Linked DNA regions of Ovis aries. The protein of the gene in region 1 interacts with the protein of each later gene in a pairwise test. Links are inferred from orthologs where the notes say so. Each region holds a gene or a part of one and is shown in the gene's direction. Other genes may lie near its edges. The genes, in order: MAP2K3, FGFR4, RASSF1 and PDGFRA.

Region 1 (4,074 bases):
GGCAGATGTGAAGCCATCCAATGTCCTTATCAACAAGGAGGGCCACGTGAAGATGTGTGACTTTGGGATCAGTGGTTACTTGGTGGATTCTGTGGCTAAGACAATGGATGCTGGCTGCAAACCCTACATGGCCGTAAGTGGGGTGCCCAGGTCATGCCCAGAGGAAACAGCCAGGCTCAGGCACCTTAGCTGTGTCCTGCTCCATCAGGAATGAGGCCTCCCCAGACCCCGAATTTCCTTCTAGAGGGAGTCTCCTGCTCAGCCCTCTCCACCCCTTTCTGACTGGCCCCACCGTGTCCATTTGGATGATAGGTTTCACCTCAGCGGGGTGGCTGGTGGGGCCTGTGGGAGTTGCTGATACCCCAAGGTGAGACCCCCAGGTGTGGCAGCTGTGTGGCAAGACTTAGGCTTCCACCTCGAGACCCCGGCCCTCACCAGCCTCAGCTTCCACACTTGCTCTGGGGGAGGTAGGATGGGTGAGCACTGGCCCCTACGTTTTGTGGGGGGCAACCAGACCCAGCTGAGGGGGCCTGGGTGACCCTGCTCTGGCTCCTCTTCCAGCCCGAGAGAATCAACCCAGAGCTGAACCAGAAAGGCTACAATGTCAAGTCTGATGTCTGGAGCCTCGGCATCACCATGGTACGTCCTGGGGCACCCTTGCTGGTCGGGTGGAGCACAGGTGGGGGCTGTGCCAGGTCTGTGAGCTTCTGGGGGCCAGATAGTCTAGCCTGGACAGAAGGGTTGGTTGGCTTCACGATGTGAGAAGAGACAGTGCCATCAAAGATTATGGGGTCCTTAGCAGAGTGTCCGCAGGTGCCTCACGCCCTCCCTGGGTTAGGGCAGCGTTATGCCGCTCTCGTCTGTGACCACTTGCCTGTTGGACTTCCTCAGGGCTCGTGCTCACTGAGAATGCACAGCCAGCCCAAGACCAACTGGCTCCTTGTGCACGAGGGCTTCACGACAGTGGCGAGGCTCAGCCTTGCCCTGCTCGTTCTTGCTGCTTCTCCACGTTTACTCCCACAGATAATGCTGTAGTATGTGTCTCTGTGCCCAGAGGCTGCTTATGTTTTCATTTTTTGAGCTCTTTTAGAAAAAATTACCAGGAGAGGAATGACTAGGTCCAAGGTTTGGACACTTCTCTGTTTTTGTTCTTGAGCTCTGGTGGCCACTGCATCCTTCTCTGCAGCCCAGGCAGGGTCCTCACTCCTGTGTGCCGGAGTCAGTGGAAACTATAGGAAAAAAAGGAGGCTGTCTTTGCCCTATGAAAATCCAGGGTCATAGCCGTTCCCGCCACACTGTGTCACCTCCATCTGTGGGCCTGTTTGTGTCTTGGCTGGAAAGGAGCCTGGGGCCTGATGAGAAGGTCCTTTCTGAGCACAACTAGTGACCTGTTTTGGTGTGTCTGCTTGAGACGAGGTCTCTCCTGTTTATTACGGTGATCGCTTGTCAGGGTAGTGGACTTGAATTTTCATGTCAGTGGTGATCGCTTCTCAGGGAAGTGGACTTGAATTTTCATGTCAGTAGTCAAAACTGGAAGCAGAGGTTGTGGTGAGACAGCCATTCTTTGCTACAGATGGCTCCTGCAGGCGAGGCGCGGGGCACAGGGGGATCTGGGTCTGGTGGAAGCGGTGAGGCCGTGGCAGCCCTGTGTCCAGGGAGTCGGAGAGAAACAGTGACAGCATCCGAGTGGAAAGGCTTCCTGGAGGCGGAAGCGTTGGACATGGGCTTACAGGTGTTGGTGGCTGGGTGGTGGGGGCTTTGTGGAGGAGGAAGGGCTGCGGACTTCATTTCCTAATGGGGCCTGGTGGATTGCTGCACAGTCCAGGAGATGAACCTCTTAGTCTAACATTCCTCCTGAAGCTCATGAAAATCATTTCATTTCCTGCTTGCCTTTTCGCTAATAACAACAGCCCACATAAACGGCAGCAGAAGCTAAGGTGTTGCTGAGACATTAGGGAGGAGGGAGTGGTCTGTGGGGAACTTCGAAGCTGATCACTCTTCTCAGGCTCTTTGGTGACAGTGGCCTTATCGGGAGCACCCCAGGCTGCCAGCCCTCTGATTTTTCCAGGTTAACTGGAACCTGGGTTTTAATGCAAAACCTTCTGAATTCAGATTGTTTGAAAACCCGATAGCCAAGCCAGTCAAAACCCAGGGTTGAATGTGTATCATGAGCTACAGTCTTTGCTGGCTGGGACAGAACCAACTCCTCTGTCCCCTTGGCTTTCATCTTTGGACTGATGTCACCTGTCAGCCCCTTGACCTGCCTCACAGCCCAGCTCTGGATGCTGGACCAGGACAGGCAGGATCTTTGAAGGCTTTGCTTCCGTGTGCAGAGCGTGGGTGTCTCTGACCCAGGGGTGCTATCTCCACTGCAGATCGAGATGGCCATTCTGCGATTTCCTTACGAGTCCTGGGGGACCCCCTTCCAGCAGCTGAAGCAGGTGGTAGAAGAGCCGTCCCCCCAGCTCCCAGCTGACCGTTTCTCCCCTGACTTTGTGGACTTCACTGCGCAGTGGTGAGTCTCAGCCCTGCTCAGACCTGAGGGCCTCCCTGAGCCCAGTCAGTGCCCCTCCCTGCCCCGGCCAGATCCCGTCCTCCCTGGGCCCGGTCTCCTTTTTGAGCAGACAAACCCCAATAACAGCATCAAAATAGAAGGCAGAAATAGTTAGAGTATAAGGATAATTTGACAAGCTATGGTCCTGGGAGGAGTTTTTAATACGGTTCCTCTAGAAACGGACAGATCACATAGATCAAAAAAGAAAATGAAGAGTATATGGAGGATTTAAATACACAGTAAATTTGCTTTTGTTGATGTGTAGAATTTTGTATCACATTAAAGAATGCCCACAAGATCCTTGTAAAGATTAATTATGTTTGAGATTACAGAGGAAATAAGGGAAAAGGCAGGAGGCAGAGTCTTATAGGCCACATTCTCTGACTGGAATTAGATGGAACAGGAAATACATAACTATGGAGAAAAAAAGCTACAAGGAAATTAAAAGTAAATTCTTCTAGTATACTCTTGGGTTATAAGAGAGATCTAAAACATACAATCATAAAGTAGTGAGAAGTGAAGACTTGAGAATCTAACATACCAACAGCTATGTGCTGTGGCCGGAGAGACGCTCAAGGGAGAATTCACAGCCTTTCTTTCGTTCACTGGAAAAGAAGAAAGTCTTAAAACAGGTGCGCCTGGCAGGCAGGATCATTCTCTCCCAGGACCCATGGTAAGGAGCTTCCTCTCTCGATTAAGGACACCAAGCATATGATGGTTAGTGGTAGCATGTTAGTGTTGGGATCGTTGGAAATCTCCTAGGTCACTATTGGTCCAGTCTCTCTGGTGGGCACCACGGATCCCACTCTGCCCTTGGAAGCCCCCAGGACAGTTCAGCCCTTTCTTTCCTGAGCCTCGGGAGCATGTGTGTCCCCTTGCTGCTTGGGCAGGGCCAAGCCCAGCCTGACTTGACTGGCCTGGATGGGCTGGATTCGCTTCCCTGCCATCCTGGCCCCAGCCTACCCTGTTCTCTCCTAGCCTGAGAAAGAACCCCGCGGAACGCATGAGCTACCTGGAGCTGATGGTGAGTGCGGGTGGGGCTCTCTGGGAGAGGGCTGCCTCTATGCACAGCGGTGGGCAGCTCCTCCGGCTTGCCTCTGCATTCATGATTCTTCGAGGGACTTTGTCGCTCATTCTCTCATTCACTGTGTCCTCCGGCTCCCTCTTTCACCCTTCATGCCAGGCCCTTGGAGTGGGGCAGAGGGCCAGCAGGGCAGGTGGGCCATTTTACTTGGAGGTGTCGGGAGGTTTTGCAGGGGAAGTGGGCCTCGAAGGATGAATGAGGGTCTTCTCTCTGATGGAGAGGGCACTCCACGTGGAAGGCCCATTGTGGGCAGAGTCCTGGAGTGTGCAGGCAAGAGTGAGTTGAGGGTGGTAGTGAGAGAGCTGGGGAGGAAGCCTGAACACTGTCTACCTGGAGGGCCTCCAAGGGCAGAGGTGCTGGAAGGGTCAGGGTGCGGGTTAGGACTAGGGGTTGGCTGGTTGCCCCTCCAAGGTGACTGCCTTCTGTACCCTCAGGA
Region 2 (4,074 bases), on another chromosome or scaffold:
GGATTCTCCAGGCTAGAATACTGGAGTAGGTTGCCATGCCCTCCTCCAGGGGACCTTCCCAACCCAGGGATCGAAGCCAGGTCTCCCACACTGCAAGTGGATTCTATATTGTCTAAGCCACCAAGGAAGTCTGTGGGTACGCAGTGCAGTTTTACTGGTGTGTGTCTCTCTGTGTGAGGAGCTACAAGGGCTTCAGTGAGACGGGGTGGGGCCAGCCATCTGACTGCTGACTGACCAATCAGTTTCTGTCTGTGTGTCCCCCCTGTGCGCAGAGGAGGATCTCACGTGGACAGCAACAGCACCCGAAGGCAGGTACACGGACATCATCCTGTACTCGTCAGGCTCTCTGGCTTTGATCGTGTTCCTGCTGCTGGTCGGGCTATATCGCAGGCAGACGCTCCTCACCCGACACCACCGACAGCCCGCCACCGTGCAGAAGTTATCTCGCTTCCCTCTGGCCCGACAGGTATCCAGCGTGCTGTCCCCCGCCTCCGTGTTCCCATAGCAAAGGCTCAGGGCCTGCGTTCCCACCCCAGCTCAGCTTCAGCAGACCGACCAAGTCTCTCACTTTGCAGTTCTCGCTGGAGTCAGGCTCCTCAGCCAAGTCAAGCTTGTCCCTGGTGCGGGGTGTCCGTCTCTCCTCCAGCGGCCCCCCCTTGCTCGCTGGCCTCGTGAGTCTCGACCTGCCTCTTGACCCACTGTGGGAGTTCCCCCGCGACAGGTATGCCGTGCCGAGTGAGCGTGGGGATCAGACCCTGTGCAGGAGTGATGCCCAGTGGCTGAGGCCTTGTCTCTCTCATCTTCAGGCTGGTGCTGGGAAAGCCCCTGGGCGAGGGCTGCTTTGGGCAGGTGGTATGTGCAGAGGCCTTCGGCATGGACCCCACCCGGCCGGACCAAGCCAGCACCGTGGCCGTCAAGATGCTTAAGGGTGAGTGTGGCGGCTTGTGGGAGATCCTATGACCTGGAAAGTAACAGACAGGGCTCAGGGTGCTAGTGGCTGAGGACCAGGAAAGGCTGTCATTCCCCCGACTCCTTGGGCCCAAATGTGCCACCGATCCTGGCAAGTCATTTCTGAGCTTCGATTTCCTCACAGGTCACATGGGATAAATAACAGTCCCCGCCTCCCAGCCTGAGGTTGGTGGAAAATGACACCTAAAATCTTTACTACTGGGGTGATGGTGACCACAAGAGTTTAGGGTGATAGGTCTGCTACCCTGTGTCAGCTTTGACCTCAAATAACCTTATTAGCCTTGAAGGCCTCCACCTCAACCCCATGATTTCCCCCCGAGATTGCACCCTCGGTCTCCCCCAGGTCCTTCCCAGATCTCCCCCTGTGTCTACCACTCTTTCAGAGAACAGCCCAAGCAGCAGCCCCAGGAGGCTCAGGACACCCGGGTGGGACCCACCATCGAGGCCTCTCGCTGCTATTCCCCAGCCCCTTCTACAAAAGCAGCCCAAACCGCTGTTCCACTCCCGCCAGCCCCTCCTTTCTGCACAGCTGGGGCCACCTGGCGCTTTCTGGGAGGCAAGGATTGAGAAATGTGCATTGTGAGGTCTGCCGGGGAGAGTAAGTCATTGGCCCAGGGCCACAGGTCAGCCCCAGGGGCTCAGCCCCGGGTCCTTAGCCTTCTCAAGAGAAACTAGAGCAGCTTCTTCCTGGCCTCCCCTGGCTGCGCTCTACCAGCAGCTCCCTGAACTCCCAGGCCAGATGGACGCCAGGCCCTGGTCAGACAGACCTCAGGGCGCCAGCCCACTTCCCGCCCCCAAGAGCTCCCACCCCATTTGGGGACTAATGCCAAGTCCTCCAGACGGAGCTTCCTTCCTATTCAGAGCGCTTTCCCCGTCCTCCTTTTTCCTGGTTGCACTCACTGGCAGGCCTAGCACTTTTAGATCCTGATCTTGTCGCATCCTTGCAACTGTTATGAGAGTAGGGCATAATCCATCATCCCATTTCATACAAGATGATCCTGAGGTTCAGAGAAGTTAAGAGACTCTTTCAAGGCCACACAGCCTAGCAGGGATTCAGGCCCAGACCTTCCTGGCACGGAATTTAGGGCTCCACGTCCTGTCCCCAACCCAAAGCCTCCCTTGTGTAATCACCCTGGCTGTCATCCTCACAGACAACGCCTCCGACAAGGACTTGGCAGACCTGGTCTCTGAGATGGAGGTGATGAAGCTGATTGGCCGACACAAGAACATTATCAACCTGCTGGGTGTCTGCACCCAGGAAGGTGGGAGCGGGGCGGGGTGAGGGGCGGGGATGGTGGGGGCATGGAGCCACATCCGTGTCAGCTTCCCTGTCACCCCTCTCCTCTGCAGGGCCCTTGTACGTGATTGTGGAGTGTGCTGCCAAGGGCAACCTGCGGGAGTTCCTGCGGGCCCGCCGACCCCCAGGCCCTGACCTCAGCCCTGACGGGCCTCGGAGCAGCGAAGGGCCGCTCTCCTTCCCTGCCCTGGTCTCCTGCGCCTACCAGGTGGCCCGGGGCATGCAGTACCTTGAGTCCCGGAAGGTAATGACCCATCCCCGCACTTTCAGGCCTTGTGTTAAATGCCACCAACTTCTCCCTCTCCTCTTTTCCCTTACTGTAAGTGTCCTTGAGTCCTTCTGTACTGCCTCATCTACACGCAGTTAACACTGCATCTTCCCATTCCTTCCTCTCCCACAGGCAGGAAGAGGTGGTGCAAGAGACAAGGTGTGGGCCCTGAAGTTAGTTGGCTTACATTTCCCCTCTCTCAACTTCCCCATCTGTAAAATGGGTGGATGATTCCCACTCGTCGGGTTGCTGTGAGGTCACCTGTGCCCAGTTCCCAGCCATGTGTCCTCAATCTAAGACCTCTGCCCCACCCCCAGTGCATCCACCGGGACCTGGCTGCCCGCAATGTGCTGGTGACCGAGGACAACGTGATGAAGATTGCAGACTTCGGGCTGGCCCGTGGCATCCACCACATTGATTACTACAAGAAAACTAGCAACGTAAGGGAGGCGGGGCGCAGCTGATTGGGGCCAGGCACTGGGACCCGTGGCCCTTGGCAGCAGTGTGCCCTCTTCCCTCCAGGGCCGCCTGCCTGTCAAGTGGATGGCACCAGAGGCCTTGTTTGACAGAGTCTACACGCACCAGAGTGATGTGTGAGTCCTGGAAGCTGGGGCCCGGGATGTAACTGCAGGCAACCTTTGTCCTTCTAAAGCCCTTGCCCTGGGTCTGAGTGGGACCAGACTCTAAAAGAAGTCCTTATTCCCACCCCCATGGTGGATCATAGTTGTGGGGTCCCCTATCCTAGCCGCAAGGTTAGGGAGTGAAGCTGTACCCTGCTGAGCCTGGGTTCTGCCTCCATCCAGGTGGTCGTTTGGAATCCTGCTGTGGGAGATCTTCACCCTCGGGGGCTCCCCATACCCTGGCATCCCCGTGGAGGAGCTGTTCTCGCTGCTACGAGAGGGGCATCGGATGGACCGGCCCCCACACTGCCCCCCGGAGCTGTGAGTCCTCACCCCACTCTCCCTCACTTTTCAGTCCTCATTCTCTGTCCTAACCCTGGCCTCATGGTCCAGTCATACAGAGTGGTCAGCTCTCACTCATGGTCACCCCCTCCTCAGCCCGGCTGGGAAGGCTTGGCAGGGTACTCTTTTGCTGAATGGCCTCGCCTCGCATCAAACCCTCCTGCCCCTTCGCCACACCCCCTCACCCAGGCCCTAGGCTCCTTCTGACCCTCCCCGCTCCTCCCCCAGGTACGGGCTGATGCGTGAGTGCTGGCACGCAGCACCCTCTCAGAGGCCCACTTTCAAGCAACTGGTGGAGGCGCTGGACAAGGTCCTGCTGGCTGTCTCTGAGGAGGTACTGCGCCCCTATGGTCCCAGGACCGTCCCACACCCCCATGCCCACTGCCCTCTGGGCCTCATCCCACCTGACCACCAGGGCTGACCAACCCTGTTCCCCACAGTACCTCGACCTCCGCCTAACCTTTGGACCCTACTCCCCTGCCGGCGGGGACGCCAGCAGCACCTGCTCCTCTAGCGACTCTGTCTTCAGCCACGACCCCCTACCACTGAGGCCCAGCTCCTTCTCCTTCCCTGGGGGG
Region 3 (4,568 bases), on another chromosome or scaffold:
TTCCTGGCTCACCTGGCCCTGACCGAAGCCCAGCCCCCTAAGAAGGACCTGGTGTTGGAACAGGTAGGCTCTTGGAAGTTAGTTGGTCAGGACCACTGCTCACTTGACCAGCTCTTCCTCCCTGCCACTCTCTGCTTCTCTTCCCCAGATCCCAGAAATCTGGGAGCGGCTAGAGCGAGAGAACAAAGGCAAGTGGCAGGCTATCGCCAAGCATCAGCTGCGGCATGTATTTAGCCCCTCGGAACAGGACCTGAGGCTGCAGGCGCGAAGGTGAGGCCTGCTAAGCCAGCAGAAGAGGAGAAGGGAGGCAGCGGCGTGGATGTGGGTGGGGTTGCCCCTGTCCCCCCACCCACAGGTCCAGCAAGTCCTTCCGGACCCTTTTTCCAGGTGGGCTGAGACCTACAGGCTGGATGTGCTCGAGGCAGTGGCTCCAGAGCGGCCCCGCTGTGCCTACTGCAGTGCAGAGGCCTCCAAGCGTTGCTCCCGGTGCCAGAATGAGTGGTATTGCTGCAGGTGAGGGCATCCTAGGACCTTGGACCCCCATTCCCATACCCCTCGGATCACTGCATCTTCACCGGCCCATTTGCCTGCAGGGAGTGCCAAGTCAAGCACTGGGAGAAGCATGGAAAGGCTTGTGTCCTGGCAGCCCAGGGGGACAGAGCCAAGTGAAGGCTGCAGCGGCTGAGGGCCAACCACCCGTGCCTACAACCCACTCAAGTGTCCCCCCAAAACCTCTGGATCTCAATCTGGCCTCTGCAAGTGCCCCAGCCTCCCGGGTGGTGAGGATAGCAGGCGGGAAGAGCTGTTGACCCATCTCCCCCCATCTAAGCGCTCCCCACTTCCTGCTCTATCAGGCGCGAAGGCTTAGGGTGCAGCCTCCCCAAGCTGGGGCAGGAGGCCTGGGCGGGGGGCGGGGGGGAGGGGACAAGGGCCGGATGTGGGGACCCTCTTCCTCTAGTACTGTAAAGTAAAGCTAGCTTCCACAAACACGCCTGTTTCCTCGTGGCCCCTTGAGGTCGTCGTGGTTGTTAAGAGGAGGGGAGTGGCTCGCGGGATGAAGGGAGGATAGGAAACGGAGGGCGGGGACTCTGAGAGAGCAGCCCCCAGCCGCACCCGCCGTCCCACTCCGCCTGCGGGCCGACACAGCGCGGGCGCCCAGGTTTCCATTGCGCGGCTCTCCTCTGCTCTCCCGCCGCTCTGCCTGAATCCTGGAGGCGGCGCCGAATCGGGGCCCGCCCCGCGGCCCCGCCCGCCCCGCGCTCGCTAGCGCCCAGAACCGGCCGGAGACCCGGCCCGACCGGGCCATGTCCGCTGAGCCTGAGCTCATTGAATTGCGGGAACTGGCACCCGAACGGTGCGCCGCCCCGGGGCGCACTCGGCTCGAGCGTGCCAATGCATTGCGCATCTCGCCGGGCACAGCTCGCAACGCCGCAAGGCAGCAGGTCCCGGGCCGGGGCCACCGCTTCCAGCCGGCGGGGCCCGCCACGCACACGTGGTGTGACCTGTGTGGCGACTTCATCTGGGGCGTCGTGCGCAAGGGTCTGCAGTGCGCGCGTGAGTAGCGGACCCAAGAGCTGGCGGGAGCGAAACGGGCAGCCAAGGGACAGCCCCGTCGCTGAGGGCCAAGTTGCGATGGAGGGGGTCAGGGGGGACAGTTCCCACAGACCAGGTCTGTAACCTTTGCCCCATAGCACAAGAGAGTGCGGGCTGATAGTTTATAACCTTGCCAAGCTCCACCTGCCTCTGAGACAGTTAGGCAAACGTGCTTCTCTGTAAACAAGGTACTACTTTCAAGTTTAACCAGTGCCTTGGCCCTTCTTGAGAAAGGCTTGTTCCTGTCAGTCTCTGGACTCACATTCTTACACTTACCCCTTTGGAAAGATTCACTTGCCAAGTCCCCCAGGAGAATCCCTGTGGTGAAGGGAACTTACCCACCTATGGGAGAAGGCCTGGAAATAGAAACTTGGGCACAGGGCTACAAGCAGGAGTTTTGAGTCTGTCTTTAGCAAATACCTATTGGAAGTTCAGTCAGCCAGCTGCTAAAACATGAAACGCAACCACACGCCAGTTGGTGCTTCTGCCCTCCCAGAAATCACCAGCAAGCTGAGGTTGCTGTCTCACTGGCCATACACCATCTAGAAACACTTGGGATGCTTTTATAGCCCTCCAAACCTCTACCCTTGGATCTTACTGCAGACCTGTTGAATCAGTCAGGTCACTGAGAGTGTACCAGCGATTTTTAAAAACAGGTCATTCTAATGTGTAGCCTGGGTGGAGAATCACTGCTCTGGCCCATTTAGGAACTTAGGGAAGATGTCCCAAGCCTGTGTGTGATGGAGACCCTCTCATCTAGTACAGGAGTTTGTCTTTATTCAGCTAGGACGAGTATGGGACTTGTGGCAGCATACAAAAAGCATGAACAAGGGCTGGGAAGATAGCAGTGTTCCCAAGGAGAAATAAAGTGGCCATGGGAATGAAAAACAGGACAATTTGGGTGTGTGTCAGAAGCAGAAACAAGAGAGGCATCAAGGATGAGTTGGGGTGGTTTGGTCTGGTTTTTGTTTTTTGCTGAGTTGAACTCTGGCAAGGGCAAGGGTGAGGAGAAGTGAAGAATTAAAAGGAGTAGGAAAGTGAGTTAAATGTTGGCCATGTCTGGTTGAATTGTTTATTGGACAGCCAAATGAAGATACTGACACAGAATTTGATCTCAAGGAGGTCAGATGGAAGCCTTGGATCTAAGGTAGGTCAGTGTACACAGAGAAGAAAAGCGATCAGGACTGGGCCTCGGACTCTCCACCATTAGATCTGGAAGCTGAAACAGAACTAAAGCCCCCTGAACAGGGATTACAGTGAGGTGGGAGGAAAACCGCGGTAGTGAGGGCCCCCGGGGAATCCGGAGAGCAAGCATCAGACGATGCTGAAGAGGTGAAGGGACCACCGCATTCCGCGGTTCGGTCTCTGAGTTCCCTGGAGGGAGGAGAGCAAGACTGGAATGGGTAGAGGATGAAGGCGAGGAATTAAGTAAGAGACCAGTGTTGGTAAGTTTTGTGTGTAAGGGGAATAGAGAAAAATGACACGAAGAGGCACTGAGTTAAAAGTTTTTTTGTTTCCCCCTCCAGTAAATGGGAGGAGGGAGGGACGCTGATAATGAGGAAGGGGAAGTTCTGCCCTAGGCGCTAGAAATCCAACTGTTGAGCAGGCCTGGATCCCTAACAGCATGAAGTCTTCCCTGCCAGTTTCCAGGCCCGGGGCGGGGGGGGGGGGGGGGGGGGGGGGGGGGGGGGGGGGACAGAACGGGGAGGCGCGGCGGCAGGGGAGACTCTAAAATCTGAGTGGCAGTGGGTGTTAACGGGGACTAAGATAAGGCCAGTCATGGAGAACACGACGAGCAACGGCCTTCATCCCGGGGCTTCGCTTCTGTCCCCGGGACGCTCCTCCGAGCTGGTTGCTGGGGTTCCTCCACCTTATGGCCAGGCCTCTCTGCAGATTGCAAGTTCACCTGCCACTACCGCTGCCGCGCGCTCGTCTCCCTAGACTGCTGCGGGCCCCGGGACCTGGGCTGGGAACCGGCGCTGGAGCGGGACACGAATGTGGTGAGCGCGGGACCGGGGAGCTTACGGGCAACGCAGGGATGCGTGGACGAGCGGGGCCACATTGGAGGCGTTCCCTAGGGCCGCCCGGCGCTACGCGCAATAAACGTTTTGATAGCCGACTTCCCGGAGGCAGAGAGTGGCTAATTCTGCGCGCGGGCTCCAAGGGGTGCCGGGGGGTGCTGACTCGGCCCTAACCGCCCGGAGCCGCCCAGACTGCGCGCAAGTGCAACTTCCGCACCTTCCCGCAGCTGCATCCGGCCTCGAGGCCACGCTGGTGCACACGCGCACAAGCCCCATAGTGTCCCTTGGGAGGCGGGGCCTGCGAGACTGCGCTGAACTGAGCTGCCCCAGGGCTGAGATCATTCTTGGAGGCGAGGCGTGTGTGACCCCGCCCTTCGACATCCCTCCTCCAATGAGATGACAGCTATGTCTTGGCTGTCTACGTTTCAGTGTTAACGGTTGCGGCTCGGACACTGGTTCCTGCGCACGCACACTCATATACGGGCGCGCACGCGCACACGCGTTTGGGGCGGTGGTGGGAGTCTACCGGTGCACCGGGGCTGGTGGGCTGGCTGGCGCGGCGATGGGTGAGGCGGACGCGGGAACGCCTTCCTTCGAGATGACTTGGAACAGCACGACAAGCAGTGGCTACTGCAGCCAGGAGGACTCGGACTCAGAGCTCGAGCAGTACTTCACTGCGCGTACCTCGCTGGCGCGCAGGCCGCGTCGGGACCAGGTGGGGACCGGAGGTTGAGGGAGGCGGGCGGGGGCGATCTCTGGCATCTCGCCCCTCCACGGTACGTTGCAGTCTCGAGAGTTTGTGGGCCGCTCCGCCCTCCTGTCAGCGTGGATCTCGAATCGGACCGGGGCCAGCCCTCGGAACCGTGTGTCGGGCTTTCAGCACATCGGTACTGGGTGCCGAGCCCTTGCTGTTTCTGTCACAGACCGGTTGAACCAGGGGAAGCAGCTGAGTGG
Region 4 (4,074 bases), on another chromosome or scaffold:
ATAAAAAGTTCATTTGTTTATTTATTTTGACTGTACCTCGCAGCCTCGAACCCAGGCCCCTAGCAGTGGAAGCACAGATTCCTAACCACTGGACTGCCTGGGAATTCCTGCCTGGTTTTTCTATGCATAACTTTCCTTCAGTGAACAGGCATAACTTGAATCATTCAGTAAAGATTTAGTGATGTTTGCTGAATCCCAAGCACTCTGGTGGAAGCTGGCTCATCCACAGAAAGAAGAAGGGAGGAGTGGAGATGGGGAAGGGGAGCCACTGTGTCATCTCTGGTCCCTGGGAATTTTCACATAGGGTATCATTCATTCTTTTTTTTTATTTTATTGATGTATATTTAATTTACAAAGTTGTGTTAGTTTCAGGTGTACAGCAAAGTAATTCAGTTATATAAATATATATATTCTTTTTCAGATTCTTTTTTATTATAGATTATCACAAAAGACTGAGTATAGTTCCCTGTGCTATATAGTAGGTCCCTCTTGTTTCCCTATTTTATATGTATTGGTGTGTGTATGTTAAGTCCAGTTCTCATTCATTCTAACATATCATGGTAAGTGTGTATGAACTGTGTGTGAAAGGCTGTGATGGTCCCACGTAGAAACCATTTAACAGTGCACAAAAACCATCTGTGTATAAATATATATATATACACAAACACACATATAAACATATATGTGTATATATATATATGGTCTTCTCCCCTTCACTCCTAGTTTGCAAATTTATGCTCCTTGCTCTTTTTTTGGCATCTGATAGTATCTCTCCTTTTTTCCATTTCTCTCCCCCATGCTTTGCTGCCCCTTTCCTTTCTCCCTGGGGCGTCTTGACTGAAACTTGAACATTTTCACATATTGCCCTATAACCTCATGTACTGAAGAGACATTCGTAGACCAATAGGTATACATCTTCCCCCAAATGTAAAGCTATCTGATATTTCTGTTCATACTTGATTGCCTTTATTTTTGTTTTTTATAGAAACTTTTTTTTAAAGTTTCATTTGTTTGTTTACTTATGGCTGCTTTGAGTCTTTGTTGCTGCGCTCCAGCTTTCTCTAACTGGGGAGAGTGGGGGCTTCTCTGAGTTGCATTGTGAGAGCTTCTCATTGCAGTGGCTTCTCCTGTGTCAGAGCATGGGCTCCAGGCTCAAGGGCTGCAGTAGTTGCAGCTTGTGGTCTTAGTTGCCCTGGGGCATGTGGGATCTTCCCAGACCAGGGGTCAAACCTATGTCCCCTGCCTTGCAGGTGGATTCTTTTTTTTTTTTTTTTTCTAATTATGTTTACATTTATGCCCATGCTGGGTCCTCATTACTTTGCGCAGGCTTTCTCTAGTTGCTGCAAGTAGGGGCTACTCTTCGTTGCAGTGTACGGGCCTTTCATTGTGGTGGCTTTTGTTTCTGAGCACAGGCTCTAAGGCTCGAGGGCTTCAGTAGCTGCAGCGCCTGGGCTGTAGAGCCTGGGCTCAGTGGTGTGGCACGTGGGCTTAGTTGCTCCATGGCACGTGGAATCTTCCTGGACCAGGGACCAAACCTGTGTCCCCTGATTTGCCAGGCGGACTCTCATCAACTGTATCACCAGGCAAGTCTGGCAGGTGGATTCCTAACCGCTGGGCCACCAAGGAAGCCCATATCTGATGCCTTTAATCCATAAAACATAAATGCTTCCTTTCATTTATTGGAGATAATTTTTTCCCTCAAAACCAAACTATGTGCTGTTTGGCCCCCCAATAGATAATCAACGTATTGGTTTATAAATCATAGTTTTTGTTTGATATTTTTTTAAAAAATGCAGGCTTATTATAACTTTAAAATTTAGAAAAACAGATGAAAAGCCACTTCCCAGAACCATCCCCATTATAATTTAAAGGAGATAAGTCTTTTAAATACTTTATAAATGTAATAATTAATAGATATACTTTAAATAGTGCTTTGATATATATTTTTTTCTTGTGGCAGTATAGCACAAACACCTTACTATGTTATTAAGTATCCTTTCAAAACCAGATTTTCAAAGGAACATGTCTAAAAATATTTTTTTCTAGACTTTATTTTTTAGACCAGTTTTAAAAAAGTATTCACTTGGCTGCACTGGGTCTTAGTTGCGGCACACGGGATTTTTGATCTTTGTTGCGGCACGTGGAATTTTAAGTTGCAGCATGTGGGATCTAGTTCCCTGACCAAGGATTGAACCCAGGCCCCTACATTGGAAGCGTGGAGTCTTAGCCACTGGACCCCCTGGGAAGTCCCTTTAGAGCAGCTTTAAATTCATAGCAAAACTGAGTAAAAAGTACAAAGATTTCCTGTATTGCCCCTTGGGCTCAACACAGGAGCAGCCTCCCCCATCTATATCCCCACAATGCGGTATACTTGTTACAATCCAGGAACCCACATTGGTGCATCTTTATCACTGGGTCCATAACTTACACAGGGGTTCCCTCTTAGGAAACAGCTTGTTAAAGTCAGTTTTCCTCCCCTTCTGCTGTAGAAAGGCAAAGGCATCACGAGGCTGGAGGAAACCAAGTTCCCGTCCATCAAGTTGGTGTACACTCTGAGGGTTCCCGAGGCCACAGTGAAAGACAGTGGAGATTACCAATGTGCTGCCCACCAGGCCACCAAGGAGGTCAAAAAGATGAGGAACGTCACCATTTCTGTTCACGGTACACTCTGCTTCCTAAAATGCCCATCGGCCATGCTGCTCGGGATCCACCATGAGGTGATCATTGTTTAATGGAAACTCTTCCCTGTACAGAGAAAGGATTTATTGAAATCAAACCCAACTTTAACCTGTTGGAAGCTGTCAACCTGCATGAAGTCAAGCATTTTGTGGTGGATGTGCAGGCCTATCCCCCTCCCAAGATAACCTGGCTAAAGGACAACCTGACTCTGATTGAGAATCTCACGGAGATCACCACTGACATAGAGAAGATTCAGGAAATAAGGTAAAGAAACACCCTTCTCAAGTTTGCCTTTCTTTGTATTGTACATTCTTAGATAGACTGAGGTTTGTGTGTGTCTTATGACCCCAAACAAGAGTCAATATAGAAAATTTAGCAATCAGGAAAAAGAGATACTGGAAATTAGGTACATTTCATGATAATGTTGCAGTGCAGTGATAGTATGTTGGTAAGTATGTAACAATGAAATGAGAAGAAAGAACTGAAAAATCTCTGCTCCCAATGAAAGACATGTTCCTGGATTCAGAAAGGGATGGAGGAAAGAAAGCAAAATTGGACCCATGTGGGTTTCATATATATTCCTTGATATCCATCACCCATATGGCAAGTAGACATGTATGGTGATTCCATTTCCAGGGCAGTTATCACATATGCCTACATGAAACACAACATCATTGGCTTAATTTGAAACACATTTGCCCCAGTGAGGCTTTGATGGGAAATAAGAGCAGCGTCTGAGTACATTTGGTTAGGACAGAACGTACAATGGATAGTTTGGATCCTTGCTCTTTGAGGAGCTGTAGACTGTTGTCATCTCTTAACTAGTGGTAGAGTTTTGTGTAAGTCACCATTCAGCCTCAGTTTCCTCATCTATAATGTAGGGTTAATAATACCATATGTCCTTCAAGATGAGGAACTGGATGATATTTTGAGGTCTCTTGCAGCTTTAAGACCTGATTAGAATCCAAGAGCAGAAGATCCCTCTTGAAGGGCTCAGCTAATCCAGCCCTGCATCTTTGTCAGAAACCTTCCGCAGGAGACAAAATCCTCTATTTCAAGCCTTCAGGAAAGAGGAGAAGATAGAACCTCTGCCATTAGTTCACTTAATTTCAGGATTTGCTTCCTTCTTTCTGAACTGAATTCCATGTGTAACTGAGAAGCAACATCTGAGAAAATGGAATGTGACTACCTCTGTGGAATAGTGATAGAGATAGAAGTGGGATACTGAATCTGGAAGGCTTTCTAAAGACACGAAATGTAGGAACACAAAGTGGACAGTGTCTAACTTTCTACTAGGCTGTGAGGCCGGAGAGAAATAGGGTGATCCCAGAGTAGCCAACACTTGAGACACCCAGGGTTGTCTGCAAGCTACCATCAGTAGCGATGGTGGTTGTC

The links.
Region 2: the proteins of MAP2K3 (region 1) and FGFR4 come close enough for resonance energy transfer, tested with the Homo sapiens proteins (2 studies listed by BioGRID). The link is inferred for Ovis aries from reciprocal best matches to the Homo sapiens genes MAP2K3 and FGFR4.
Region 3: the proteins of MAP2K3 (region 1) and RASSF1 come close enough for resonance energy transfer, tested with the Homo sapiens proteins (2 studies listed by BioGRID). The link is inferred for Ovis aries from reciprocal best matches to the Homo sapiens genes MAP2K3 and RASSF1.
Region 4: the proteins of MAP2K3 (region 1) and PDGFRA come close enough for resonance energy transfer, tested with the Homo sapiens proteins (2 studies listed by BioGRID). The link is inferred for Ovis aries from reciprocal best matches to the Homo sapiens genes MAP2K3 and PDGFRA.

What each region holds. Positions count from the first base shown.
Region 1 is NC_056064.1:35,010,496-35,014,569, forward strand, and holds part of MAP2K3 (dual specificity mitogen-activated protein kinase kinase 3), read left to right. Parts: intron 1-5; coding exon 6-133; intron 134-561; coding exon 562-639; intron 640-2,375; coding exon 2,376-2,515; intron 2,516-3,532; coding exon 3,533-3,578; intron 3,579-4,072; coding exon 4,073-4,074. UniProt on the Homo sapiens protein: Dual specificity kinase. Is activated by cytokines and environmental stress in vivo. Catalyzes the concomitant phosphorylation of a threonine and a tyrosine residue in the MAP kinase p38.
Region 2 is NC_056058.1:36,293,683-36,297,756, forward strand, and holds part of FGFR4 (fibroblast growth factor receptor 4), read left to right. Parts: intron 1-272; coding exon 273-466; intron 467-575; coding exon 576-721; intron 722-806; coding exon 807-928; intron 929-2,120; coding exon 2,121-2,231; intron 2,232-2,319; coding exon 2,320-2,510; intron 2,511-2,851; coding exon 2,852-2,974; intron 2,975-3,056; coding exon 3,057-3,127; intron 3,128-3,337; coding exon 3,338-3,475; intron 3,476-3,724; coding exon 3,725-3,830; intron 3,831-3,936; coding exon 3,937-4,074. UniProt on the Homo sapiens protein: Tyrosine-protein kinase that acts as a cell-surface receptor for fibroblast growth factors and plays a role in the regulation of cell proliferation, differentiation and migration, and in regulation of lipid metabolism, bile acid biosynthesis, glucose uptake, vitamin D metabolism and phosphate homeostasis.
Region 3 is NC_056072.1:50,057,910-50,062,477, forward strand, and holds the start of RASSF1 (ras association domain-containing protein 1), read left to right. Parts: upstream 1-1,272; 5' UTR 1,273-1,304; coding exon 1,305-1,554; intron 1,555-3,486; coding exon 3,487-3,593; intron 3,594-4,119; exon of another isoform or gene 4,120-4,176; coding exon of another isoform or gene 4,177-4,329; intron 4,330-4,568. Other genes in the region: ZMYND10 (zinc finger MYND domain-containing protein 10), read left to right, coding at 1-63, 149-270, 388-513, 594-669. UniProt on the Homo sapiens protein: Potential tumor suppressor. Required for death receptor-dependent apoptosis. Mediates activation of STK3/MST2 and STK4/MST1 during Fas-induced apoptosis by preventing their dephosphorylation.
Region 4 is NC_056059.1:70,456,235-70,460,308, forward strand, and holds part of PDGFRA (platelet-derived growth factor receptor alpha), read left to right. Parts: intron 1-2,489; coding exon 2,490-2,661; intron 2,662-2,753; coding exon 2,754-2,943; intron 2,944-4,074. UniProt on the Homo sapiens protein: Tyrosine-protein kinase that acts as a cell-surface receptor for PDGFA, PDGFB and PDGFC and plays an essential role in the regulation of embryonic development, cell proliferation, survival and chemotaxis.